3 linked regions of the Arabidopsis thaliana genome follow. The protein of the gene in region 1 interacts with the protein of each later gene in a pairwise test. Each region holds a gene or a part of one and is shown in the gene's direction. Other genes may lie near its edges.

Region 1 (7,165 bases):
GCATGTACGTGTTTTTTTTTGTTTTTGTTTTGTTTATAGGTTAAGATAAGCAAACAATTTGGAGGGCCTTATTGGAACGCGACTCTAATGAACATGATGGGAGGCGTAGTGGCTATGCTTGTCGCTCTTTGCTGGGAACACGATTTAGATGAATGGAGATTAGGATGGAATATCAGACTATTAACCATTGCTTATGCGGTAAATATCAATCCATCCATTATTAAGTATATATATATATGTCTTGTTGTCTAATTACAAATTCATACAAGTCTATACATGTGTGAAGATTCATTTAGGTTGGCCTTGAATATATGTGCTTTATGTTGTCCATTGTAGGCAATTCTGATTTCCGGGATGGTGGTAGCAGTCAACGCATGGTGCATTGAGTCTAGAGGACCGTTATTTGTATCGGTATTTAGCCCTGTAGGACTTGTGATCGTAGCTCTTGTTGGATCATTTTTGCTAGATGAAACACTTCATTTGGGGAGGTACAAACTCATGTATATTGTATTGTTTTGTGGAAATGGATTTGATATACGTATGTATATATAATATGGTTTATTTTTACTTGAAAACATTACAGCATAATTGGTACAGTGATTATCGTTGGAGCATTATACATTGTGCTATGGGCTAAAAACAAGGAAATGAAGAGTATGCTTACGACATCGGATCATAATGAAACAAATAAGACTAGCAAAGATATCACAGTCAACAATCTCCCAACATTAAGTACAAATGTCCCTTGATCAACCATCATTTATATATGTTGAACGACTTGTTGTTAGTATATTTGATTAAGTGAATATTAACATTATTATTCTATCTAACGATGATTTATTGAACCATCTATGTAAGTTATTATGTGCATATGACCTTTGTACTACCACATCCACAACTTCATAAGATGTTGCATGGATTTTTTTTAACGAGCAATAATAAATTGTAAAATCTTATTTGGGTCTAATTAATTTCACTTCTGAGTCATACAATATGTACATGAACTAGTAAGTTGGAATGGGCCCATAATGGGCCGCTCAAATAACTCTCCTCCAAACCTAAAACCCTTTATCGTAATTGATTCTCCAAGCATCCTTTTGAATCTCTGATTCCTACAAGACAAATCACTAAAAGATTCGCAAGTTGACATAGCAGAGACCATACGACACCAACCTAAACACAGAAAAGAATAACTCATTCACTCGTATAGGCTTTGTCTTGCCTCTTCTTGAAAACATGTACACGTATTTAATTATAAATGCATATATAAAGATCCTACCGACGAAAAAATAAAAAGATTGAAAACATGACATCTGCTTATCGTCCAAGAGTTATTGTGAATGGAACAAGAAGAACAAGAACGTTCCATTACTTCTATTGTCGCCATTGTAGCCGTACCATTAGGCTAAGAAGCTTTGGTCTATATGGTCCCATATGTCCTTTCTGTTCTAGAGAGATCAATCTTCACGATGAGCTTGACATTATGAGGCCAAGCCGACCTTATTGGGATAGTGATACCGATTGGATCACTCTCCATCTTATCAACGAACCAAGAAGTAACCGGTTCAATCATGATGATCTAGTTTATAATACTGACGAGGAATTCGCTGATGTCATGCCTAGTGTACAAATCGGTCCACCACCAGCCTCGCAATCCGCCATCGAGGCTGTAAGGACGGTGATAATCACGGATGAAGATTTGGTGAAAGAGAAGGTTTGTGCGATATGCAAGGAGGAATTTGAAGTTGGAGAGGAAGGAAAAGAATTGAAATGCTTGCATTTGTACCATTCAAGCTGCATTGTGTCTTGGTTGAACATTCACAACACTTGTCCCATTTGTCGTTTTGAGGTTAACTTAGGTGTTTCCGAGAGTAACGTAGACGAAGGAGGGTCTTACAACATCGACAATGATCGATCAAATCGGTTTCGGACTCGGGTTTGTTCTTTGTGGCCTCTCCGAATGATGATTGATTGGGTACATAATCTCATAGGTAAGATTCCACCTCCCGATATAGCTTTCATGGCTTTTCTATTATGCTTATACGGGTTTTGACTATGATATTTAACTCTTAAAAATATATACAATTTCGCAGATATAAGAATAACAAACTCTTGACAAAAAAAAATTAAAGAATTGCAAACAAGAATGTATGAAACTAGGAATATTATTGACTACATATTAAGTGTATTATGACTTATGAGAGAGAGGAGAAGAAACACACATCAATAAGAAACGACAAAAAAAAACTACATAAAGAGACAAAGAGGGTGATCATGAAAGGCTAGAAGCGTGTTTATTTCATGAAACAAAACTTTGGCATTAACAAGACTATATTTGCATTAATTATCTTTTATTCATTTGTAAGTTGTAACAACATGTAAATAAAAAATCTTGGTAATAAGGTTAGTCCTCTACTCTACTAGCTAGGGTTCCATGATCTCTCATAGTCTCTGAAAACGCTTTGTCTCCCTTTCTTTGTTTCTTTCTCTCTCGTGATCATCGAACACAATTTACTTAGGTATGGTTTGAATAGCCTCACCAACCCTTTTTATTTGCCGGTTATCTTATTTTTGGCCTGATTTTGTAAAGCCGAGTTTGTGCCTTCTCGGTTTGGTTTACTATAACCTTCATGTAGAGCTTCCCATGGACTTCTCTACTAAAGACTTAGGATGAGTCTTGTTGTACCATCTTTTATTGTCATGCATTCAAAAATACCAACAAAATTCTACTAAAGTACAACAGATCTCAAATGACAAATACGCAATCAACTATGATGGTCACCCAACCCAATTAAACCAATCTGAAAAAAAAGTGTGATAACCAATGAAAACTCGGCCCACTAAACAGGCCCAACAAACAAATAATAAACCCAAGAGGTGCTTCTTAATCGCCGATGCCTCTCTTCATCAAAATTCAAAATCACTTTTGTCTTTTCAAAAATCACAGCAAAATAATATTCAAATTCAAAATCTGTCCAAATTCATCTAGGGTTTCTGATAAAACAGACGAAGAAGATCCAAATTCGCTAACAATGGTGAGAATTTTATGAATTCCCAATACCCCAATTTTTAAAACCCTAATTTTGTCTGTTGTGGGATTGTGTTGATGCCTGAGTTTTTCTGAATTTGTATTACTGATTGATGATCAGGGAGGTGAAGGAGAAGATCTAGAGCCACTTTTTGATTATCGTCGTGTTCAGCCAGCGAATTTCGTTTGTATCGATGGTGAGTTTCGATTATTTGATTTGGTCACTGAGCTCGACACTCGACAGTGATAAAGATGAATCCTTTATTATCGCTTGAATTTTTGTAGATGATGATGATGATGCCTCGGTGACGCCAATTCCGAAGAAAGCGAAAACTTCACAAACAGTAAGAATTGATTTTTATTGATTGGTTGTTGTCTCATTGAGCTCTTTGTGTTAACTTGATAGATACTTTTGGTATTGTGGGCTTGTAAAGAGTTTTGAATCAATGTCAGTGAAGGAACAATTCGATTATGTACTTCACAATTCATAGGTTGAATCTATCATCATTCCTTTTGGAACTTGAATCTTTTTATATAGGTTGAGAAGTTAGATGATGATGTGAAAGTGATTGAAGTTACGGGTGATGACGATTGGTTGCTTCCTCCACCAAAGGTTATCTTCGACAAAAGTAAAGACTCTGTTGAAGATTCAACTATTAAAGCATTGAGGTAACTTTTGTATGTCTTTGAGTATTTCTCATCTCTAAGCTTCCCATGTTGCTGTTAGAGGCTATGGTAGTGTTATTTGCTATCCGGAAAGAGTCCCAGTGTTACAATTTGATTATAAATGAAATATGTAACGTAGGTCGAAGAAGATGGAGCTCATGTCATTTACAAAAACTGTAGGAGATGTGATGCAGGAAGTTGAGGAGTCTGCTAAAAGGGAAGTTGAAGAATCTCGCAATCCATCTTCAGAGACTGCTGCTCAGTTACCATCAGAGCCTACGAATGACAGGGCCAAGATTGTTATTACAATACAGGACAAAGATGGACAGAAGACACTCCGGGTGTTTGCGGTAAGTTTTTTCACTGCTTGCCACTTACTATCCAACCTTCCATCGACAATAAGCTTACTATCCAAACTTTTTCTAGCTAGATACTAGATATTTAGTAGAGATAAGAATTAGTTGTTATGTCACCTTCGCTACTATCTAGATAGCTAGATATTTCGAGCTTTCTAGGAAAGCAAGAGTATAAATACAGGGATTAAAGAAATCATTGAATGGGGTCGAGTATTTGAGACGTGTATTAGTTGATGGATCTTTAAACTATTCTTTGAGTTCATCTAATAAACTAGAGAACGAGTTCATGTTCTTATCAATGTATCATCACCACATAGCATTTACACACAGAATACATATTGCTTGCTCTCTGTCATACAATGAGCCGCTCATTAATAGATATGCATATTCTGTTAAAGCTTGTAAAATATGAGAATGTTGATTTGGTATTTACCATTTTCTTGTAGGACGAGAAATTTGAGAGGGTTATCAAACTGTATACAGATAAAGCTAAGCTTGACCCGCAAAATCTTGTATTTATTTTTGACGGTGATAAGATTGATCCATCAACCACTCCTTCTGAACTTGGCATGGAGGATCATGATATGATTGAAGTGCACACCAAAAAAACTTGACAAATAGGTAACTTATGAAGTCCTCCACATCTTTCTTCTTGCTCTTATTGTGATATGATGATAACTCATTATCTTCGATTGAATTCAAGTCAGGCGCTAATCGGAATCTGGAATGTCAAATCTGTTCCATCTTTTGCGAAAAACCAGAGTTTTGTACATCAACATGGGCATGGGAAGGGATCTCTCTGCTAACATCTGGTGTTTGTATCTGTGACCTTTCTCATTTTATCGGAATTTTGTTTCTTTCTTTCTTTCACTCTTTCTGTCACTCTTTATTAGGCGTGTATAATATATAAGGTAAACCAAACCATTTTGATTTTAACTAATCCTATTGAATCCAATCTAAAAATCTAACTAAACTTTTGTTTGGTTTTAATCGTTATGCTTTCTCTATCTCTTGAGAAACATAAATATATATCTCACTAATCTAAGACAAAACTAAAACTATTGTATGTATAATCAGTATTGCTTTTTACTAACTGACAAAAACTGGAATCAATGGTAAATCGGTTAAATTCGGTTTAGTGTACTTTTTCCTTTGTTTCTTAGTAAATGTCGTTTTACACTGATATTTTTTATATTCAAATATAGTCTCATGACTCTAATATTTCTTGTTTTGTAACATTAGCTTTTAATATAATCTTGATAGAAAAGAAAACATCACATTAGTCATTAATAAAATTCTTAAAAATGTAAAATTATAAGAATTAACACATTCAAGTACTATTTATGTGTTTTAGTTCATGTGAAAAATAATAAAACCAATTAACGAACTAACCAAGTCGGATAATTGTAGTTTTTGTTTGGTCCGGAGTTAGCTACGACATGTGGCATACAATAATTGGTTAGGAAAAGCTAAGCTTTAAGAGTTAGAGATGATGGGTCGTGAAAGAAGAAGCTGTCACAGTGGCACATACGTCCGTGGCTTCCCCATATCTCACGTGCATACGGATAACGTAATCACCATTTTTTCTAAGTCCCCACCCAAATATCTACGTGGCTTTGCCACGTCATCCTAACCAAACCGACGGATTTGTTCAGATAATATGAAAAAGCTCCTAAAAACAGACAGAAGAAGCTTTTGTCACCAATCTCTGATCTTTTTAGTTCTCTTATCGGTAAAAACTTATTCTTCTCTTTTTGTTCGATCTGTGATCTCTAATAAACTAATTTGATATTTTTTTTGATGTAACAGGGAGGAATCTTTTATATGTTATGTATAATAATAATTGAGAATATGGAAAGAGTATGTGAGTTTTGTAAAGCGTATAGAGCAGTGGTTTATTGTATAGCTGATACAGCAAATCTTTGTTTAACATGTGATGCAAAGGTTCATTCAGCTAATTCACTCTCGGGACGGCATTTACGTACGGTTTTATGTGATTCTTGTAAGAATCAGCCTTGTGTTGTTCGATGTTTTGACCATAAAATGTTTCTTTGCCATGGATGTAATGATAAGTTTCATGGTGGTGGCTCTTCTGAGCATCGTAGAAGGGATTTGAGGTGTTATACGGGTTGTCCTCCTGCTAAAGATTTCGCGGTTATGTGGGGTTTTCGAGTTATGGATGACGATGATGATGTTTCGTTAGAGCAATCTTTTCGAATGGTTAAACCTAAGGTTTGATGCTTGTTTTGTATACATATTTACAGTTTCTTATAACCGGTGTAAGATCTCGGGTCGAAAGTAGACTAATACACCCGAGGCTTGTAGAAAGCCGTCTACAATGGCCAAAAGAGAACCACAACGATCTGTGGCCTTAAACCATAGGGCGAGTCTTTCACCTACTTGAACAAACCACTGGACCATACGCTCTTTAGTTTTTTTTTGTATATCTTTTTATAGCTTTGTAGATGAATAGATCTCTTTATAGCTGATGTACCGATGATTTTGATGGTTTCAGGTGCAAAGAGAAGGTGGTTTTATCTTGGAACAGATTCTTGAATTGGAGAAGGTTCAGCTCAGGGAAGAGAATGGTAGTTCTTCCTTGACAGAACGAGGTGATCCATCTCCATTGGAGCTTCCTAAGAAACCCGAAGAACAGTTAATCGATCTTCCGCAGACCGGAAAAGAGCTGGTTGTTGATTTTTCACACTTGTCCTCATCTTCCACACTTGGTGATTCCTTTTGGGAATGCAAAAGTCCATACAATAAGAACAATCAGGTTTGGTTTAAATATCACACAGTACATAGTCTTAGTGGGAACCATTAGTTACATGAGATTAGCTCTGTTTCTGCAGTTGTGGCATCAAAATATACAAGACATTGGAGTATGTGAAGATACAATCTGCAGTGACGATGACTTCCAAATACCTGACATTGATCTCACTTTCCGGAACTTTGAAGAGCAATTTGGAGCTGATCCTGAGCCAATTGCAGATAGTAACAACGTGTTCTTTGTTTCTTCCCTTGACAAATCACATGAGGTTTGAAATCTTTCATCCACTACTATAGAGTCTAGTTCAGTAACCACTATATATGTTTTATTGTTATATAACCTAAG
Region 2 (7,375 bases), on another chromosome or scaffold:
AATTTTGGCAACCTTAAGGGTTAATCCTAGCGGATTAAGATTAATCCAAGAAAAGTATTGCGTCATTAAAACGAGCATCCACGTTGAAGCTACACGCCAAGAACATGAACACCAAATAATCATCAATCGCGATATATATATATCGTGATTGCGTTTAAAGTATTTAACCAAAAGTTTGACCCGACTGAAATATAATTACGTTTGTTAACCGAGTTAGAGTATTAAACCATTATCTCGTCAAAAGCAAGACACTATCCTACATGTCTACTCTAAATTTGGTTTTCTCTAAATATTTGCTAAATATAGTAACATATTGACTTGACTATGAACAAAAGTAATTGTTGGTCATTGTCCATGGATGATTATCCCCTGCTCTACATCGTCAGTCAAATTGTCCACTCTTTCACCCACCAGATACCTTTCATTGAAGACCAATTGGTGAAGGTACATAATAACATCACGTGTTAGCTTGGCCATAAAACAGACTGTGATCAAAGCTAATAGCGCCGGCCAAATACACCTTTCAATAGCTGAATTGGTGCTTTGGGAGAATCCAAGCAACGGGAATAAAACCTTTCAACAGCTGAATTGGTGCTAGTACTACATTTCTCTAAGAATAACTTTAGAGCAAAAAACGCATACTAATAAAAAATCAAAGGGAAGAAAATTTGAGGAAAAGGTGATGGTTTAAGGTAACAGATTTCTAGCTATACTTAGATTTTAGAGTTAATTGAAGAATACAAAGGTTTTAAAGACAACATACGTTAGTGTTAATTGACGTGTTGACCTATTTTCTCGCAAAACTTCACAATTACCATGTTTAAAGATGATGACTAATTACAACTTGAAAGTTTAATCGCCATTTACGTTCCACCGATCTCCGTAAACTCTTTTCTTCATTTGGTCACTTTTATCTAATCAGAATTCCATTTTTTTCTCAATCAAAGGGGAAAAAAATGGAGTTCAACAAAACCTATCGGATCATCGTGATCTTCACGGTTTCTATTTTGGTCACCATCTCTACGCATGTAGAATCCAGATCAGATTCTCCATTTTCGACACCAGCTCCGGCACCGGAAGTTATGAAACCTATCGCTAGTCCTGCAAATTCTCCGGCGGAGATATATACAGACTCTCCCGTTGCGTCTCCAGAAGCTCCAGCAGATTCATTTTCCCCAAAAAATCCTCCGGTCGAGATAGATATATACTCTCCCGCAGCGTCACCAGAGGCTCCTGTCGCATCACCAGAAGCTCCTGCGGAGTCTTCCTCTGCTGCACCATCTGGAATCAAAGTTTCGAGTTCTCCCAAAAGCCTTTTGAACCCGCCATTGTTATCTCCGGAGATCAAAACCATTTGCGGCAAAACCGATAACCCTCCGTTATGCGAATCTTCCGTTAGTCCTCTCTTAACGCCTCAACTGAAACCAAACACTTCCTCCGTCCTCATTCTCGCTATTCAAGCTTCGATCACCGCGACCAAGGCGGCCATGGCCATCGTCGAAAAAGTCGACGCCTCCGATTGTCAGGAGTTATATGATGATGCAGTTGTGAATTTGGAAGATGCAGTTAACGCCGTCAAGTCAAGTGACATTGCCACCGTTAACACAAACTTGAGCGCAGCGATGACAGATTACAGCACGTGTAACGACGGTTTTGAAGAATCGGGAGAGCCTAACCCGTTGGCTTACGTGGCCGATAAGCTTACGAAGATGGTTAGTAACTGTCTCGCCATCTCTACGTTGATCAAGTGAAATACGACAGCGTTTTGAATCGTGAGGATATAAAAGTGTTTTTGTTTTCTTTAAATTTGGGTCTTGGCTGGGTTTGAACATGGTACTACATCGTTTTCGAATATCCAAAGTTCCAAGTAAAGAACGTGAGAGCTCTACTTAGGCTTACGGTGTAAGTCTGTAACGTTATCATGTATCTCATTGTTGTGTGGTCATATGTGGATGTTATATTCTCGTGAAACAAAGTGATATATATACATATATATATATATATATAAATATATACAAAAATGTATATGTAGAGATAACGACTCGTTTTTGAATCTGGTAAAAGTGAATCGATTGTACAAATGTTAGGTTACTTCTTGAATATGAATTAACAATGTGCACCAATTTATTTGAAAAATATCAGTTATGTTAACAATGTGCACCAATTTATTTGAAAAAAAATCTCAAAAGACTGTTCATTTCCTAATGTTGTTGGTGCACATTATTTTTTTTGCTAAATTGTAAATATCATATATAAAAGATTTCTCTCCCGGATTTTCAATTGGCTCTTTGTTTTTTGTTTTTATTTTGCCAAAAAAATACAAATGTTCTAGATTATCAAACTTTGTAAAACTGATTTTTCATATATATGATATTTACAATTTAGCAAAAAAACAATTTGCACCAACAATGTTCGGGGAGTGAATAGTCTTTTGAGACTTTTTATAATATGTAATTTAGGCTAATTGGACTCTACACTATATTTACCAATTGGGTTATCAGTATAGTGAGATAATGAAGAGAATTTGAGTGAAAAAATAATAATAAATGAAAGACATTTAGTATGATATTTATTTTCAGTCAAGAGATATTTTAAATCAAAAAAAAAAAAAAAACGTTTTCGTTCTATCTCACATCTCTCTCACTTCTCTTTCTTTATTATTTAAACACTACCTTTACCCATTGGATAAAACATCTCATGCAAATTTATAAACATGTGTTTCTTAAATAAAATTAAAGTGTGAATATAGATAAATATTTTTTTTAATCATGAGTTTCTTAAATTTATAAAAACTTAGCTTAATTATCTCTTAATTAGCTTAATTTTCCTTAAATATTTTATTTTTAATCAAAGTCAATTATATAGGTCTGAACCGACTAGAAAGTAGAAACTGAATAATTTACCTGAACCGAAGTCTAATAGAAATCGGTAGAAATCACATATTTGGTTTGGTTTAGCTCATGTTTTACGAGCCTTGAAATAATTGGGCCTTAATATTTTAAGGGCCCAACCCAAACGCTGAATCGTCGCTCGTCTTAGTCAACAACCCCGACAAAGAAACGATGAGCGTTTCGCCGGAGATATTTAAACGGGACGGCATGGAAGTGAAGACCCGAAAAAAAAAAGGCAAAAAAGAAAAAAAAAAGGGAAGAGAGAAAATCAGAAAAATGGAGGAGATAAAGATTTTGGGACATCTCTTCCACATTTACCCTTCACTTAAAGCCAATCCTCTCTCGAGAGACTTCTTCTTCTTCTTCTTCTTCTTCTTCTTCTTCTTCTTCTTCTTCTTCTTCTTCTCAACTCCATTATCTAATTCTAGGGTTTTTCTCTCCTTCTTCTTCGCACTTCTCTTTCTCTCTCCCGCCGCTTGTTTCTTCTTTCCCTCGAAACACTGGTGTTACTGTGAGATTCTCGTTTGAATTTAGGGGATTTCTTAACGAATTCACTGAGAAGCACTAATTGCGAAGGTGTTGTTAGAGGTGGGTTTAGTGTATGCTTATTCGTTCTTTAGGTTTAGATATCATTCTACTTGAGTAGATGCTTGATGGTTTTGGCTTCTCTGGTTTCATTAGTTTTGTGTCAATTTTGAGAATGCTATGTCTAATTCAATTTTGAGAATGCTATGACTAATTCAATTTGAGAAAGTGCATGTAGTTCAATTTTAAACTATCTTTCTCTCTGGGGAAAACAGATTCTGAGGCTTAGTTATGTTCATAAATTGCTTTGAGTAAACATTTTTCATGCAGTTGTTATAGTTCAGTTACTTGTGTATATTGACCTTGTTTACTGTGGTCAGGTATTTTGCTGCATCTACGCTTGTCCTGATAATGGAGGACTCTGGAGGTTCTGCTTCTACTTTAGCTGGCTTTACGGGTAGGAGAAGGAGAAGCGCTCTGCCTCGTCGACCCCGCGATATTAAAGGGAGCTTGCATAGTTTCAAGTTTCTGCCACCCTCAACGCAGACAAACACTGCTCTTAGCAATGAAGCTAACCCAAGTTTTAGGAATACCAATAGTTTATGTGGGTCTGTGAGTGAGAACAAACTGAAAGTGAAGCTTAAGCTTGGTGCTGGTGTTACCCGTACGTTGCAAACCAACTCTGAGGCGGGTACTTATACCAAAGCTTTGGTAAAGGTCTTATCTGTTAAAAGCTTTGAGTTTGTCCTTCATTATACTTATTGTTAGCTTTCTTTCTTTGCTGATATACGAGAGTAATGCAGGATAATGGACAAAAACCATTTCAAAGTAAGGTAAAAGGCAATGGTCATGTTCAGAAAACACTGTTTCTAGGAGATATACATCAATCTAGAGGATATCCGTCTAAGACTGAGAATGGTGCGTCCATGTCCGAGAAGAGCAAACGAGGTCTTAAGAAACGTGTATTGGATCCAGAGCCAGACAGTGATGATGGAGATGAGGAAATCAGATACCTCGTAAAGTTAAAGTCTAAAAGGGTCGGGGTCTCTCATGAAGGTAAAGAGAGTGAAGGAGGCAGAAGGATACACAGCAGTGGTCATGACATGGAAGACGGAAAACATCTCTCATCAGACAAACTTGCTGTGTCCGGAAGGAAAAAGCCGGTGATGGGAATGGTTGATCCGCTCCCGGCAGGAGAAACAAGCGGACAAATTCCTACTACACGTACTCGGGCTCTCCAATCTGGAAAGGATCCACATTCTGTCATCAGGTCGAGTTCTCTTGAGTTCCCTGATGGCTTACCTTGCCCCTCATCTAAAAGTGAGTTGCACCTTTTTCCCTTTCTCAAATCAAACTGATGACTGCAAATACTTAATCTCTAAACCTTGAACAATTCCAGGACCAAAACAGAAGCTTTCTGAGGTAGAGCAACAATCCAAGAAGGCCGAAGCTGCACAGAGACGGCGAATGCAGTGTGAGAAGGCTGCCCAAGAAGCCGAGGTAAAGTTGATACATTTTTTCTGGTTAATATATAATGCCAATACAAGCCGAATGACGATCTAAGAGCTTCTTCTTTGTCTTGTTCACCAGGCTGAAGCTATCAGGAAAATACTCGGACAAGATTCTGGTAGAAAGAAAAGAGAGGAGAAGATAAAAAAACAACAGGAAGAACGAGCTCAGGTACCTTTGATTACAGATGAAATTTTATTAACTCCTCCTCTCTGTTTGTTCTGATTTCATCTTTCCTCTTCTCAGGAGAGAGCTGCAAGATCAAGCACACTCGCATCAAACACTATCAGATTGGTTATTGGTCCAAGTGGAACAACTATGACATTTTCTGAAGACATTGGTCTTCCAGATATCTTCAAGCCAGTCACGTACAGGTATGCTAACATCTGAGGATATATTTATAGAATCATATTTATATATGTGGAATTGTGAGATTTGAAGTGTGTGTTTTGATGGATCTGTGTGCTTCAGTTATCCTCCTCCGCGAGAGAAATGTGTGGGACCAAATTGCGAGAAAGCGTACAAGTACAGGGATTCAAAGTCGAAGCTGCCATTATGTAGTCTCGGATGTTACAACGCCATTCAAGAGAAGATGGAACAAGCACTGATTCATTGCTAATTGCTCAACTTATTTAACACATAATTGTTGCTTAACTCTTGTCCAATTGACCTTTACATTTCAGTTTACTTGATATCCATATCCAACAGGACGATCAAAATCAAAGTCAATACGAGTTTTGTTGCTAGACAATCAGATTCTTTTCAACAATATATAAATAAAACAAAAAGATGAATATTTGTGGCTGCTGGGATTCGAGCCCAGGTCTCCACGGCCACAACGTGGAATTCTTACCACTAAACTACAGCCACTTTTGTTGGCAGTATTCGAAGAATCAAATACATAAACAGTTTAAATTATTTTAATAGAGCAACAATTGTTTAGGTCTTTTTTGACGTCAGACGTTGTAAAATAGCGGAAATGAATATGGCTTTTGGGGAAAGGAAATGGCGAAGAAGAGACACTCCCAAGCATGTCAAAATAAAATGACAAAAAAATATGGAACGCACCATGCGTTACGCATGTATTAAAGTCAAAGAAGACGACAAGCTGTGTTTTTTTTTCTTTAGCTGGTTGAGTATTAGGACATAGATGAGTTAGATCACGCCTGTTAAGAATGTTGGAAGTGGGTGACTCAAGTATGGTAGTTGACTAGTTGTGTTAGATTATTTAATTAAGAACTTGTAACCAAAAGAACCTTTTCCTGATAGAAAACCAAATCCAAAACTGAATACAAAAATATCAAAACCTTATATCTCATGTGTAACAGCTAACTGTTTTAAAAGAAAAATATAACACACTTTGGCTGCTGTACCACCTAACACACAGCGAAGAGAGATGCATTTCCAGAAAAAGAAAGATTTAAAATAAGGAAACCATTAGGAACTTGAATTAAGAAGAGTTAGTTGCTGATAGACCATGTCTTACAATATGCAATTGACCAGACCAGAGACTGCTAAGTTTTTTCAAAGATGAATATTATAAAAAAAAACGGCTGCAAACACTACGGACGAAGAACCCGTTACCTCCTCTCAAATGGCGCTCACTATACATTTCTTCCTCCGTTTGGTTGCCCAAAGCTTTTCTTTTGCGGTTTATCATGTCTCAGTCTGCACTCTGAAGGTTTTATTTGCACCCATGAGAGTGCCTTCCATCCCCAGCCACAACTAAAGAGTCCAGAGTGTTAAAATCTCAGGATCCATTTACAGCCATTTCAGGTGATGATTTTGGAGCTACTACCAGAGATTCTTCCCCATTTAGCTTTCCATTGTCTGATGTTTCATGTTCAGAACTCGATACTCCATCATCCTTATGATTCTCATCATCTGAACTGCTGCTATTATTCTCTTCACTACTTTTTGAATCCTCAGCTCCTTTCGCTACTATTGACCGGGCTGCTGATCCAGCGGGGCCTGGACTTTTCTTACCCGTAAGCACTGCATGGCTCAGTGTCGAACATAGCACAGCAAATACATTTTCCCTTTTCGAACTTTTCCCCAGCCGTGGTTTCTTGGACGGCTCTTGTTCTCTTTCTACAAGAGCGGATTTTCGTTTCAGCCTCAGGAGCTCGCCTTCCTCATCCTCAGAGGCTTCTGGCTGTTTCCGCGGAGGAGGTTTATAGTCTTCATCATCTTCATCGTCCTCATAATCAACCAAGCCTCCAGACCTCGGACTATAGAAGCAATAAATCCATTAAAACATAGATGTTGCATTATATACATTTCACAAACTACTATACCTTGAAGAAGTAGGGCTTGCAGCCACTCCATTGGAGAGATGAGGCTTAGGTTGTTCTTTCTGTATATTAGAAGCAGGTTTTTCCTTTTGTGTATTAGAAGCAGAGGCTGAATCTTCTTCATCGCTGTCAGTATTTAAAAAAGTGAGAAAAGGT
Region 3 (9,796 bases), about 17 Mb from region 1:
AAGGTTAATGCTTTGTGTATTCTGATTACTATACTGAACGATGATGATATTGTTTGTTGGTGTATAAGCTTAGCTTAAAGATGGTGAAGAAGTGAGGAGTGAAAGCTCTTCAGGTGTTGGTGATAGCTATGTGGGCTTGTTTGTGGGAATGCTCGGTTTGGACAACGATCCTCTTGATAGAGAGCAGGCGATAGAGACGCTATGGAAGTACTCTTTGGGTGGAAAGAAATGTATTGATGCGATAATGCAGTTTCATGGTTGTTTGAATCTAATTGTCAATCTTCTCAAGTCTGAGTCCAGCTCCGCCTGTGAAGCTGCTGCTGGGCTTATACGGTCTATAGCTTCTGTGAATCTGTACAGAGAATCCGTTGCTGAGAGTGGAGCGTTGGAAGAGATAACCGCTCTACTGAGCCGACCTTCGCTAGCTACAGTGGTATGAAGGATTATGATTCCAAAGTAGTATACTTTTGCTTGTTGGATTTGAATTGTGATGTATGATTATTCGATGTTTTGTTTTTTTCAGGTGAAAGAACAATGCATATGTGCTCTGTGGAATCTGACTGTGGATGAAGAAATTAGGGAGAAGGTTGCTGACTTTGATATCCTTAGGCTACTCATTAGTTTCCTTGAAGATGATGATGTAAACGTAAAGGAAGCAGCTGGTGGCGTCTTGGCCAATCTAGCCCTTAGCCGCTCGACTCACAAGATTCTGGTTGAAGTAGGAGTCATACCAAAACTGGTAAGACCTTGCTTTTCACCTTATAGAATTTAACAATATATTAGATATGTTAGATTGAAATGATTGCTAATAGTCAAGGGTGAGAATTGAAATTACTGAAAGGATGTGAAATTGGCTGAGAATCACTTAGGCTTTAGGACAATGATATTATATATGGAAAACCGTAGAATTGTTGGTCATGCTTCAGCTTGCTTATTACCTTCCCAATTGGAATCCAGGCAAAATTGTTGAAAGCCGATAATACAGAAAACAAAGGGTCTAAAGTTATTAGAAAAGAAGCAAGAAATGTGCTTTTGGAGCTAGCCAAAGACGAATACTACAGAATTCTCGTCATTGAGGAGGGAGTTGTACCCATTCCCATAATTGGTGCAGACGCTTATAAGTCCTTCAGACCGGATTTGTATTCTTGGCCTAGTTTACCAGATGGTATAAATATTGAGCAGACAGCAAAAGCTCCTTCAAGATTTGGTGCCTCTGAGCTGCTCCTTGGTTTAAATGTTGACAAGAATGTTGACGACGTAGATGAAGCCAAAATGAAAGCAATAGTTGGGAGGACAAATCAGCAGTTCCTTGCCCGTATTGGAGCAATTGAATTTGAGAAGGAAATTAAGTCCGAAGGGCCAGGGAAATCTCAGCAGCTTACCCTTCTTCCTTGTGTAGATGGTGTGGCTCGATTAGTCTTGATTCTTGGATTGGCAGATGAATTGGCAGCTACAAGAGCTGCAGAGTCAATTGCTGATGCATCTATCAACGAGGATATGCGGGTTTCTTTCATGGAAGCCGGAGCTGTAAAGCCTTTGGTTCAGCTTTTAGCCAACAACAACAAAGAGACTGTTAAATTACCCGTCATCCGTGCCTTGAAAAATTTATCACTTAGGTGTTTATCTTTGAGCATTCTTTACATTTTTACTAAGCAGTTTCTCCTCAGAGGTTGAGATTATTTATACTTGTAATGCAGCCGCACTGTTTGCCAGAGGATTGAAGCTGAAGGTGCAGTATGGTTTCTTATTAATCTTCTGAAGCAGCCAGAGATCTCACTAAACGTTACAGAACACGTATGACTTCATTTTCTTCTTCCTTTGTTCTTTGATATCTTTGTCTAGGCTATTATGGAATAACTGGACGTGAAATGGTATTTTGTGAACTATGTTATGCAGGTTCTGGATATAATTGCTCATATCTTAGATCCTAGCAAGGAAATGGAATCCAAGGTGTGTTTATTTTCCAAGGTTGATTATTATACATTAAATCTGCTTTCATTTGGCTTATGCTATTTCTCTACATGCTACAGTTTTATGAAGGACCGGTGAACGGATCAAAAGCAGACTCCAGGTCAGTCTTCTTCTCGATCTTCCTATCTTCAGCTCATTCATTCTTTTTGTTTTTTTAGAAGTATTAATTACTCAAAACATCGGATGGGAATGAACAGAAAGGAAGTTCTGGACGCTGCTGTTTTTTCTCGGCTCGTCCAGATTGCGAAAACAGCCTCTCCGAACCTGCTAAGAAACGCAATCTCTGTCATCGAGTTTGGTATAATCAGTAATCCAAACATGGACACGATCATCTCCAAGGATATCACAACTGTTCTTGATCTTGCTCTCCGGCAGAAAGTCCTGGAAGGTACAAAACTTATCTTTTGATATAACTCTGTTTGAATTTTATAACAGCATACAATACTTTTTATGGAAATGCAGAACCTGAGAATGAAGCTGAGGAGTTAGAGAAACATCTGCTTAAGCTAGAAGAAGCTGGTTTGACGATTTCCGCTGCTTCAAGGCTACTGACAAAACTTCTTGACTCCGAGTCCTTTCGCCAAACAATAGATACCGCGGTCTTCATAGAATTAGTAAGGAAGATCCTAAGATCAAGCCTCCCTCTACACTACAAAGACTGGGTTGCCGCTTGTCTTGTCAAACTCACCGCTCTCTCCTCTCCCTCTCAATCCCTCAACAATCCGATCAATCTTGAGGTAACTCTGTACAAAACGATCCCGAGCCTCGTGGAACAAATGAGCTTTTCCTCATCACCAGAAACGAAAGAAGCAGCGGTTTTAGAACTGAACAAGATAGTCTCCGAGGGAGTTCCAGAATCTATCCAAACACTTGCTTCACAAGGAGGTATCGAACCGCTGGTTAAGCTTCTTGAAGAAAGGAACGAGCGGTGCGTTGAAGCGAGTTTGTCAGTATTGTACAACTTAACCATGGACAGTGAGAACCACACAGCCATCATAAGAGCAGGAGCTGTACCAGTATTGAGACGTATCGTTATGTCTCAACGACCACAATGGGAGAAAGCTCTTCGGTTACTCAGAAATTTACCCGTTTAAGACATTTTTACAGATTATTGTCATGTAAAATTTTGGAATCAATTAGAATAATATAATGTATGATTTGTCATGTGAGACGAATATACGAAAAGTTAATTACATTAAGATAATCGGATTACGTAGCACGTATATTACTATTACCATATTCTAGAGATTACACATGATCAATCAAATATTTAATCTTTGAAATGTTACGCAAGCAAAAATGAATTTAAAATCTGAAAATACAATCCAACGGCTGAGATTTTCTTACTGTGTCAGTGAAAACGAGAGAAACGTTCTAGTTCACTCACTTGGTTACACGTGTCTTGGGATCGTTTAGCTTTTAAGCAAGCTTCTCTTTTGCGTAATTTATTTAAGAGCTGCTTGCTTTTATCATCATCACTCTCTCTGCGTCCAAATTTTGATCTTTGTTCTTCTCAAAGCGAATATGGTTTTCAAGGTTTCTACCGTATCCACATCTCCTATTGATGGCCAGAAACCAGGAACTTCTGGTCTTCGTAAGAAGGTTCGTTGATCGATCCTTGTCTTCTGAATCAAACGAAATCGAATTGTTGCATCTGGATCAGATCTGTTTAGATTTTCTTGAGTGTGATTTTGAAGTGAGATTGACCATCTGATTAGATTTGATCTATGCATTAATCTATATTGATTAGTGAATGATGACAAATTTTAAATTTCGTTTTCGTTATTTTATTTGGATCAAGTTCGAGATCACGTTTATTATATTTGATTTGAGTATATGTTTGGGACGCTTCTATGTGGTGAATGTTGATTTGATAGAGCTTGAAATTACGTTTTTTGAGTTGGTGTAGCGAAATGGAGACTATATGGATTGAATTTGTGTATAATTGAAACTAGGGAAGAGCCTAGTTGTTATTGTCAGATCTTCGTTTAACGTATATACGATCTGCAATGACGTTTATTGAGACTCACTGATCAGATCTGTTTCAGATATTTTGATAAAAGAAATTTGGGTTGATCATTTTATCCAATCAATCGAGTGTCGATTGTTTGTTCTACTCTCTGCAGATATCAAACTAGCATCTTTTTGTATCTCTGATTAGTATTTTTTTTTTTTTTTCTAACTGTGTAGGTGAAAGTGTTCAAGCAACCCAATTATCTAGAGAATTTTGTCCAAGCAACATTCAATGCTCTTACGGCGGAGAAAGTTAAAGGTGAGATTTTTTTCATACTCATCTTAGCTTCTCAGAGATATCTGCTCATTCGAAAAATTCATGAGTGTTTATTGTTCATATGTGCAGGTGCCACACTTGTGGTCTCTGGTGATGGTCGTTATTACTCAAAGGATGCTGTTCAGGTAAGGCCGATGATATTCCCTGTCTTCTGGATCTGTGTGAATGTAATTGGCGTATCCATAGAATTATGAATTAGTGCTCATGTATTTACAATGTTTTGGAGGGAACTCCTGTGTTAGGAAGGCCTGCTATTATCATCAATGCCTTGCTTATTTTTCTTTGTGTTCATCTCTAAAATTTGCATCGAAACCTCTATAGAGAGATTAGAGGTTTATAGAAGTTAAAGTTTTGTTTGACTTTGAAATCTCTGAAACTTAAGTTTGTTTGATCTACTCCTATTACAAATCCGGTTCATACTGTTACAGATGAAGATGTTTTACTGCTTTTCATACAATTTTATTTTGTATCTTAACAGATCATAATTAAGATGGCAGCAGCTAATGGTGTACGACGTGTGTGGGTTGGTAAAAACACTCTGTTATCAACTCCTGCTGTATCAGCTGTGATTCGTGAAAGATCAGGGGCTGATGTGAGATTTCTTTCTCTATGCTCATGGTTGTAGTGACATTTTGTTTTTTGTTTTTTTTGGTTATTTGCTATGTTTGTGCATGACGCAAAATGTAATGATGGTTTTGAGTTACTTAACCCCAGTCTCCGATTACAGGGATCGAAAGCAACTGGAGCATTTATCTTAACAGCAAGCCACAATCCTGGTGGCCCTACTGAGGTCCGTTCTGTTCTTGTTCCATCTCTACTGTGCTATCCTTTCATTTGAACTATTCGTTTTGTATCTCTTTATTTGTTCTTTTTTTAATAATAAGATATCTAGATGGATAATAAGACTAAGAGGTGATTCCATACCCCTTGTACAGGATTTTGGAATCAAATACAATATGGAAAATGGAGGACCTGCTCCTGAATCAATCACTGATAAAATTTACGAGAACACTAAGACAATCAAGGAGTACCCAATAGCACAAGATCTACCCAATGTATTCTTAAGAATCCTCTTATAGATTTCCATCATCTGTCTTTTGTTGAATCATAGTTGATCTGGTCTATCTGATGAATGCGACAGGTTGATATTTCTGCTGTTGGTGTAACCAGTTTTGAAGGACCTGAAGGAAAATTTGATGTTGAAGTTTTTGATCCCGCAGATGACTACGTTAAATTAATGAAGTGAGTGGTCCCTCAATTTAAAAGCATGATTCTGGAATCTGCTCCCTCTATGGTCTATGTGCAATTTTTATGATCTTTCTAAAGAAAAATTCTCGCTCCTTCAAGGTCAATCTTCGATTTTGAAGCCATCCGGAAATTGCTATCATCTCCAAAGTTTACATTCTGGTATGTAACTAACATTGGTTCCCAAACCTTTTCCATTTGAGTTAAGTTTTGTAATATATGTTCCATCACTGTAATGTTATATTTTACTTTGTTTTATGAAGCTATGATGCATTGCATGGAGTTGCTGGAGCCTATGCACATCGCATCTTTGTCGAAGAACTCGGTGCGCAAGAAAGCGCATTATTGAACTGCACTCCCAAGGTCTTATTTTTGTCTAACCAAGAAACGCTATTCCATAAATGATTACAAATACACCTCCAGGCTCAATATTTACCACAATACAACGATTTGCAGGAGGACTTTGGAGGAGGGCATCCGGATCCCAATTTGACCTATGCTAAGGAGCTTGTGGCACGAATGGGATTAGGTAAATCCGACACTGGAGGTGAACCTCCAGAGTTTGGCGCCGCTGCTGATGGTGATGCAGACCGTAACATGATCCTTGGTAAAAGGTAGCTTACTGACGTTTTCAAGAGAGATACATCCATGGAACTAGTATACCAAGTACTTTTAAACTTAAAGTATCTCTTCATTTGTAGGTTCTTTGTAACTCCTTCGGATTCAGTTGCCATAATTGCTGCAAATGCTATTGGTGCCATCCCGTACTTCAGCTCTGGTTTGAAAGGTGTTGCAAGGTATTATACACCTGGGCTCTTTTTTTACTTCTAGTAGAATTCTGTGTATACAACTCTTTTAATATATCTTTTTTGTGGATTATTTTGTAACTTCCACTTCTTGTTTTAGGAGCATGCCAACCTCAGCTGCTCTTGATGTCGTTGCAAAAAGCTTGAATTTGAAGTTCTTTGAGGTACATGTCACCGTGCAACTTCTATCCAGCTTCTTTTCTCCTAACTACATAATTTAATTTCATATCTCTATTAAATCACATATCAGGTTCCAACAGGCTGGAAGTTTTTTGGTAATCTGATGGATGCTGGGATGTGTTCTGTTTGTGGAGAAGAAAGTTTTGGAACTGGTCAGTTTCTATTTCCACACTCACACATCTGTTCATAACTTTAAAACAACCTATACAGTTCTGAAAGAAAGATCTTTCACAGGCTCGGATCATATCCGTGAGAAAGACGGAATATGGGCAGTTCTTGCATGGATGTCTATACTTGCTCACAAGAACAAGGGAAATATTGACGGTAACGCTAAACTGGTGTCAGTTGAAGACATTGTCCGCCAGCATTGGGCTACCTACGGTCGTCACTATTACACTCGTTACGACTATGAGGTAAAAGTTGCTAAGTTTGGTGATTGTAATTATACCATATTATATGGAAGAAACAGTACCCTTACTGACATCTCAAAATTTGTCTCTAAAGAATGTAGACGCAGGTAAAGCTAAGGAACTGATGGAGCATTTGGTCAAATTGCAATCTTCAATTCCTGAAGTTAACAAGTACACACACTTCCACTTCTCTGAAATCCCTTCCTTTTATACTTGAACACGTACTCATCAGTTTGGTACTCTGTTTTTCTAACCTCTTCTTCTCTCTTGATTTTATTCAGGATTGTGAAAGGAATTCGTTCGGACGTGGCAAGCGTCGCCAGTGCTGATGAATTCGAGTACAAAGATCCAGTTGATGGATCCATTTCGAAGCACCAGGGAATCCGTTACTTGTTTGAAGACGGATCACGACTTGTAAGTCATCTTTTTCTTCGGTATTTGAGCTTGGATACATTCCAGCTAAGAACAAAGTGATAGAAATCAAAACTAACTAATCCTCTCTTGTTATATCTGAAACCATATGAAGGTTTTCCGTCTCTCTGGAACTGGCTCAGAAGGAGCAACCATCCGGCTTTACATCGAACAGTACGAAAAGGATGCTTCAAAAACCGGCCGAGAATCCCAGGAAGCTTTGTCTCCTCTGGTCAGTTGCTTACTATAAAACCTCAAATCCATAAACTGTTTTCCGACTCATTACCATTTAGCTAATACCAAAGGGGTTTTCTCTAATCAAATACGTAATTGTTGATGTGTGATTCACAGGTTGACTTAGCTCTAAAGCTGTCGAAGATGGAAGAGTTCACAGGCCGATCAGCCCCCACCGTCATAACATAAGAAGGGTCAAGCTCAACGACTCAAACCATTCACCTTTTCGTCTATATGATGTTTTCTTCTTATACTATCCAAGTTACATTATAAGAATAATTAGTCTCAGGGAGAATTTGTATTTCTCATCAGAATTCTGAACAACCAAGACTGATTTCTTGAGTTGTTGTGAGGCTTATACTTGTACGGATTTGGCTTTCTCAGTTTTGTTCTCTCTTGTTTCCGTATTTTGGCGAGTATACTCTCTTAACATCTAAGTTCATTGATACCTCAAAGCATGCTACGACCATCCATTGACAAATCTCAGAGTTGTCTAATTACTTCAAATGGGTACTCATGAAAATGCACCCTCTCGTGTTTTGGTTTGATGTTGCATGGTTTTCAATGCATGATACCATAATATATGGACGAAAGCCATTTTTTATTACTTCTCTTTTGAAAAGTGGGAGAGACGTCGAACTTGAAAACGAAAGAGAATAAATGGAAGATTCAATATATGTATGTGTTGCTTTCGAAACGAATATAGAGAATTGGAACAAGGAAACCCAAAGATTTGGTTAGAGTCGTACACAACCCTAATTCTCCCACCGGACCTTCCATATCTAGAACGAAGCTTCATTCAACTTTCTACTCCACTTAAACCACACTATCCTTTATTTCGTGTAAGTATATCTTTCTTATACTCGATTTCTTTCTCTTTTGAGTTTTAGTATCAAATATTTGTATCATTGACCTATCAGTATATTTCAAATCCAAATTCAGACATAATGAGTTCTGTCAAGTATCAATAACATGTGACTAATTGAGTGGTCGTATAAATCATATTCATATACATAATATATGAACGTGAGAAAAAAAAGAATTTGATTATATAATCGTGCAATATATTTTGTTTTCTCGAAAAAGCTATGCATATGAAAAAGCTAGCTAGTGAGAGAGTTAGCATGTTCTGTTGATATGTCCAAAAACACCAAACTCATCTTAACGAACTACCACTACCACTACCCGCACTACTTCGGTCTATCACATTCATAACACACAATAAGCAAAACAAAACCTATATAGTGACTCAAAACTGATTCTAGTGAATCATAGATGAAGTAATTAAGTCGACTTTTAAGTAACAAAAAACCTCGAATCGATGGAAGACAAACTCCCACTCCCAATAGTACGTACCCACCCCCATCTATCATCTCTAGATTTCAACTAGTGGTCTTAGCTTGTACTCTTAATTTGTTATCACTTTCACGATTATGCATATATCCATATTGTTGGCAAATATTTTTTTTTGAGATAAGTTATACAATTTTTCTTAAAACTTCAAGATTTCATTGTCGATATGAATTCAAGACAAGTCTTTCGTAACATTAACATCTATGAAAATGTAGCTCATTCACTTACATTTCCAACACTCACATTCGTATTTACAATTGAATTGATTTTGATTTTTTTTAATAAATCACCCAATCTTTCACAAGTAACGTATATTTCTTTTGGTACAAATTAAATAATGATGGAATACCAAACAATTAGTACCAAAATATAGTAACAAGTTAATGACGAATTAAAAGATGTATATTTCCTCATCGATGTCGACAAAAATATTAATGAGATATTAGTTATACCGCCGTCTATCACCATTGTTAGTGTGGGATTTTTTTCCTGCTGTAGTGAAATAATATGACATGATCAGAATTATACTTGTTGTTTATTGGCAGTAAATGTTCTTTCCATGCAAATGAAATAGAAATTTGAATGTGAAAATGCTTAACTACATGTGTAAATAGATCTTCTCAACTGTATGTTACGTAGATATCTCTAGCATTCAGTTACCAAAATATATATGTTGGAAATTTTTTTTTTCTATTGTCAACAAGGAATTTGAAAGTTAGTCGTAAGATTTACATACTTTTTGGTTAAACTCATGCTTAATTGTTATGATCTAACTACGTGACAGAAATTGCAGAAAATGTCGCTTTTGTAAACCTAAACCATTAATTAAACGATAGAGTAATAACAAAACTTGTTAAGTGAGAAAACATATTACAATTCCCACAAAAGACGGACTT

The links. Proteins that work in one complex are often made in the same cells at the same time.
Region 2: the proteins of AT1G68185 (region 1) and AT3G06660 interact in a two-hybrid assay, tested with the Arabidopsis thaliana proteins (one study listed by BioGRID).
Region 3: the proteins of AT1G68185 (region 1) and PGM3 interact in a two-hybrid assay, tested with the Arabidopsis thaliana proteins (one study listed by BioGRID).

The regions. Positions count from the first base shown.
Region 1 is NC_003070.9:25,553,510-25,560,674, forward strand, and holds AT1G68185 (Ubiquitin-like superfamily protein), read left to right. Parts: upstream 1-2,873; 5' UTR 2,874-2,894; coding exon 2,895-3,035; intron 3,036-3,149; coding exon 3,150-3,225; intron 3,226-3,313; coding exon 3,314-3,372; intron 3,373-3,566; coding exon 3,567-3,697; intron 3,698-3,833; coding exon 3,834-4,044; intron 4,045-4,496; coding exon 4,497-4,664; 3' UTR 4,665-4,671; exon of another isoform or gene 4,672-4,757; 3' UTR 4,758-5,024; downstream 5,025-7,165. Other genes in the region: UMAMIT23 (nodulin MtN21 /EamA-like transporter family protein), read left to right, coding at 40-198, 337-488, 584-749; AT1G68180 (RING/U-box superfamily protein), read left to right, coding at 1,307-1,991, 2,094-2,116; BBX27 (B-box zinc finger family protein), read left to right, coding at 5,711-5,782, 5,860-6,282, 6,566-6,826, 6,903-7,088.
Region 2 is NC_003074.8:2,099,233-2,106,607, forward strand, and holds AT3G06660 (PAPA-1-like family protein / zinc finger (HIT type) family protein), read left to right. Parts: upstream 1-3,083; 5' UTR 3,084-3,479; intron 3,480-3,796; 5' UTR 3,797-3,827; coding exon 3,828-4,127; intron 4,128-4,219; coding exon 4,220-4,736; intron 4,737-4,815; coding exon 4,816-4,916; intron 4,917-5,006; coding exon 5,007-5,096; intron 5,097-5,171; coding exon 5,172-5,299; intron 5,300-5,396; coding exon 5,397-5,544; 3' UTR 5,545-5,676; downstream 5,677-7,375. Other genes in the region: AT3G36659 (Plant invertase/pectin methylesterase inhibitor superfamily protein), read left to right, coding at 957-1,751; AT3G06670 (binding protein), read right to left, coding at 6,676-7,156, 7,223-7,345.
Region 3 is NC_003070.9:8,216,451-8,226,246, forward strand, and holds PGM3 (Phosphoglucomutase/phosphomannomutase family protein), read left to right. Parts: upstream 1-3,357; 5' UTR 3,358-3,495; coding exon 3,496-3,573; intron 3,574-4,161; coding exon 4,162-4,243; intron 4,244-4,330; coding exon 4,331-4,386; intron 4,387-4,739; coding exon 4,740-4,853; intron 4,854-4,988; coding exon 4,989-5,051; intron 5,052-5,196; coding exon 5,197-5,316; intron 5,317-5,402; coding exon 5,403-5,503; intron 5,504-5,608; coding exon 5,609-5,668; intron 5,669-5,769; coding exon 5,770-5,869; intron 5,870-5,962; coding exon 5,963-6,120; intron 6,121-6,207; coding exon 6,208-6,303; intron 6,304-6,412; coding exon 6,413-6,476; intron 6,477-6,562; coding exon 6,563-6,644; intron 6,645-6,726; coding exon 6,727-6,905; intron 6,906-6,996; coding exon 6,997-7,073; intron 7,074-7,183; coding exon 7,184-7,316; intron 7,317-7,428; coding exon 7,429-7,545; intron 7,546-7,664; coding exon 7,665-7,736; 3' UTR 7,737-8,097; downstream 8,098-9,796. Other genes in the region: AT1G23180 (ARM repeat superfamily protein), read left to right, coding at 74-433, 524-739, 958-1,616, 1,698-1,794, 1,897-1,950, 2,031-2,071, 2,169-2,359, 2,434-3,065. UniProt on the Arabidopsis thaliana protein: Catalyzes the reversible isomerization of alpha-D-glucose 1-phosphate to alpha-D-glucose 6-phosphate. The mechanism proceeds via the intermediate compound alpha-D-glucose 1,6-bisphosphate.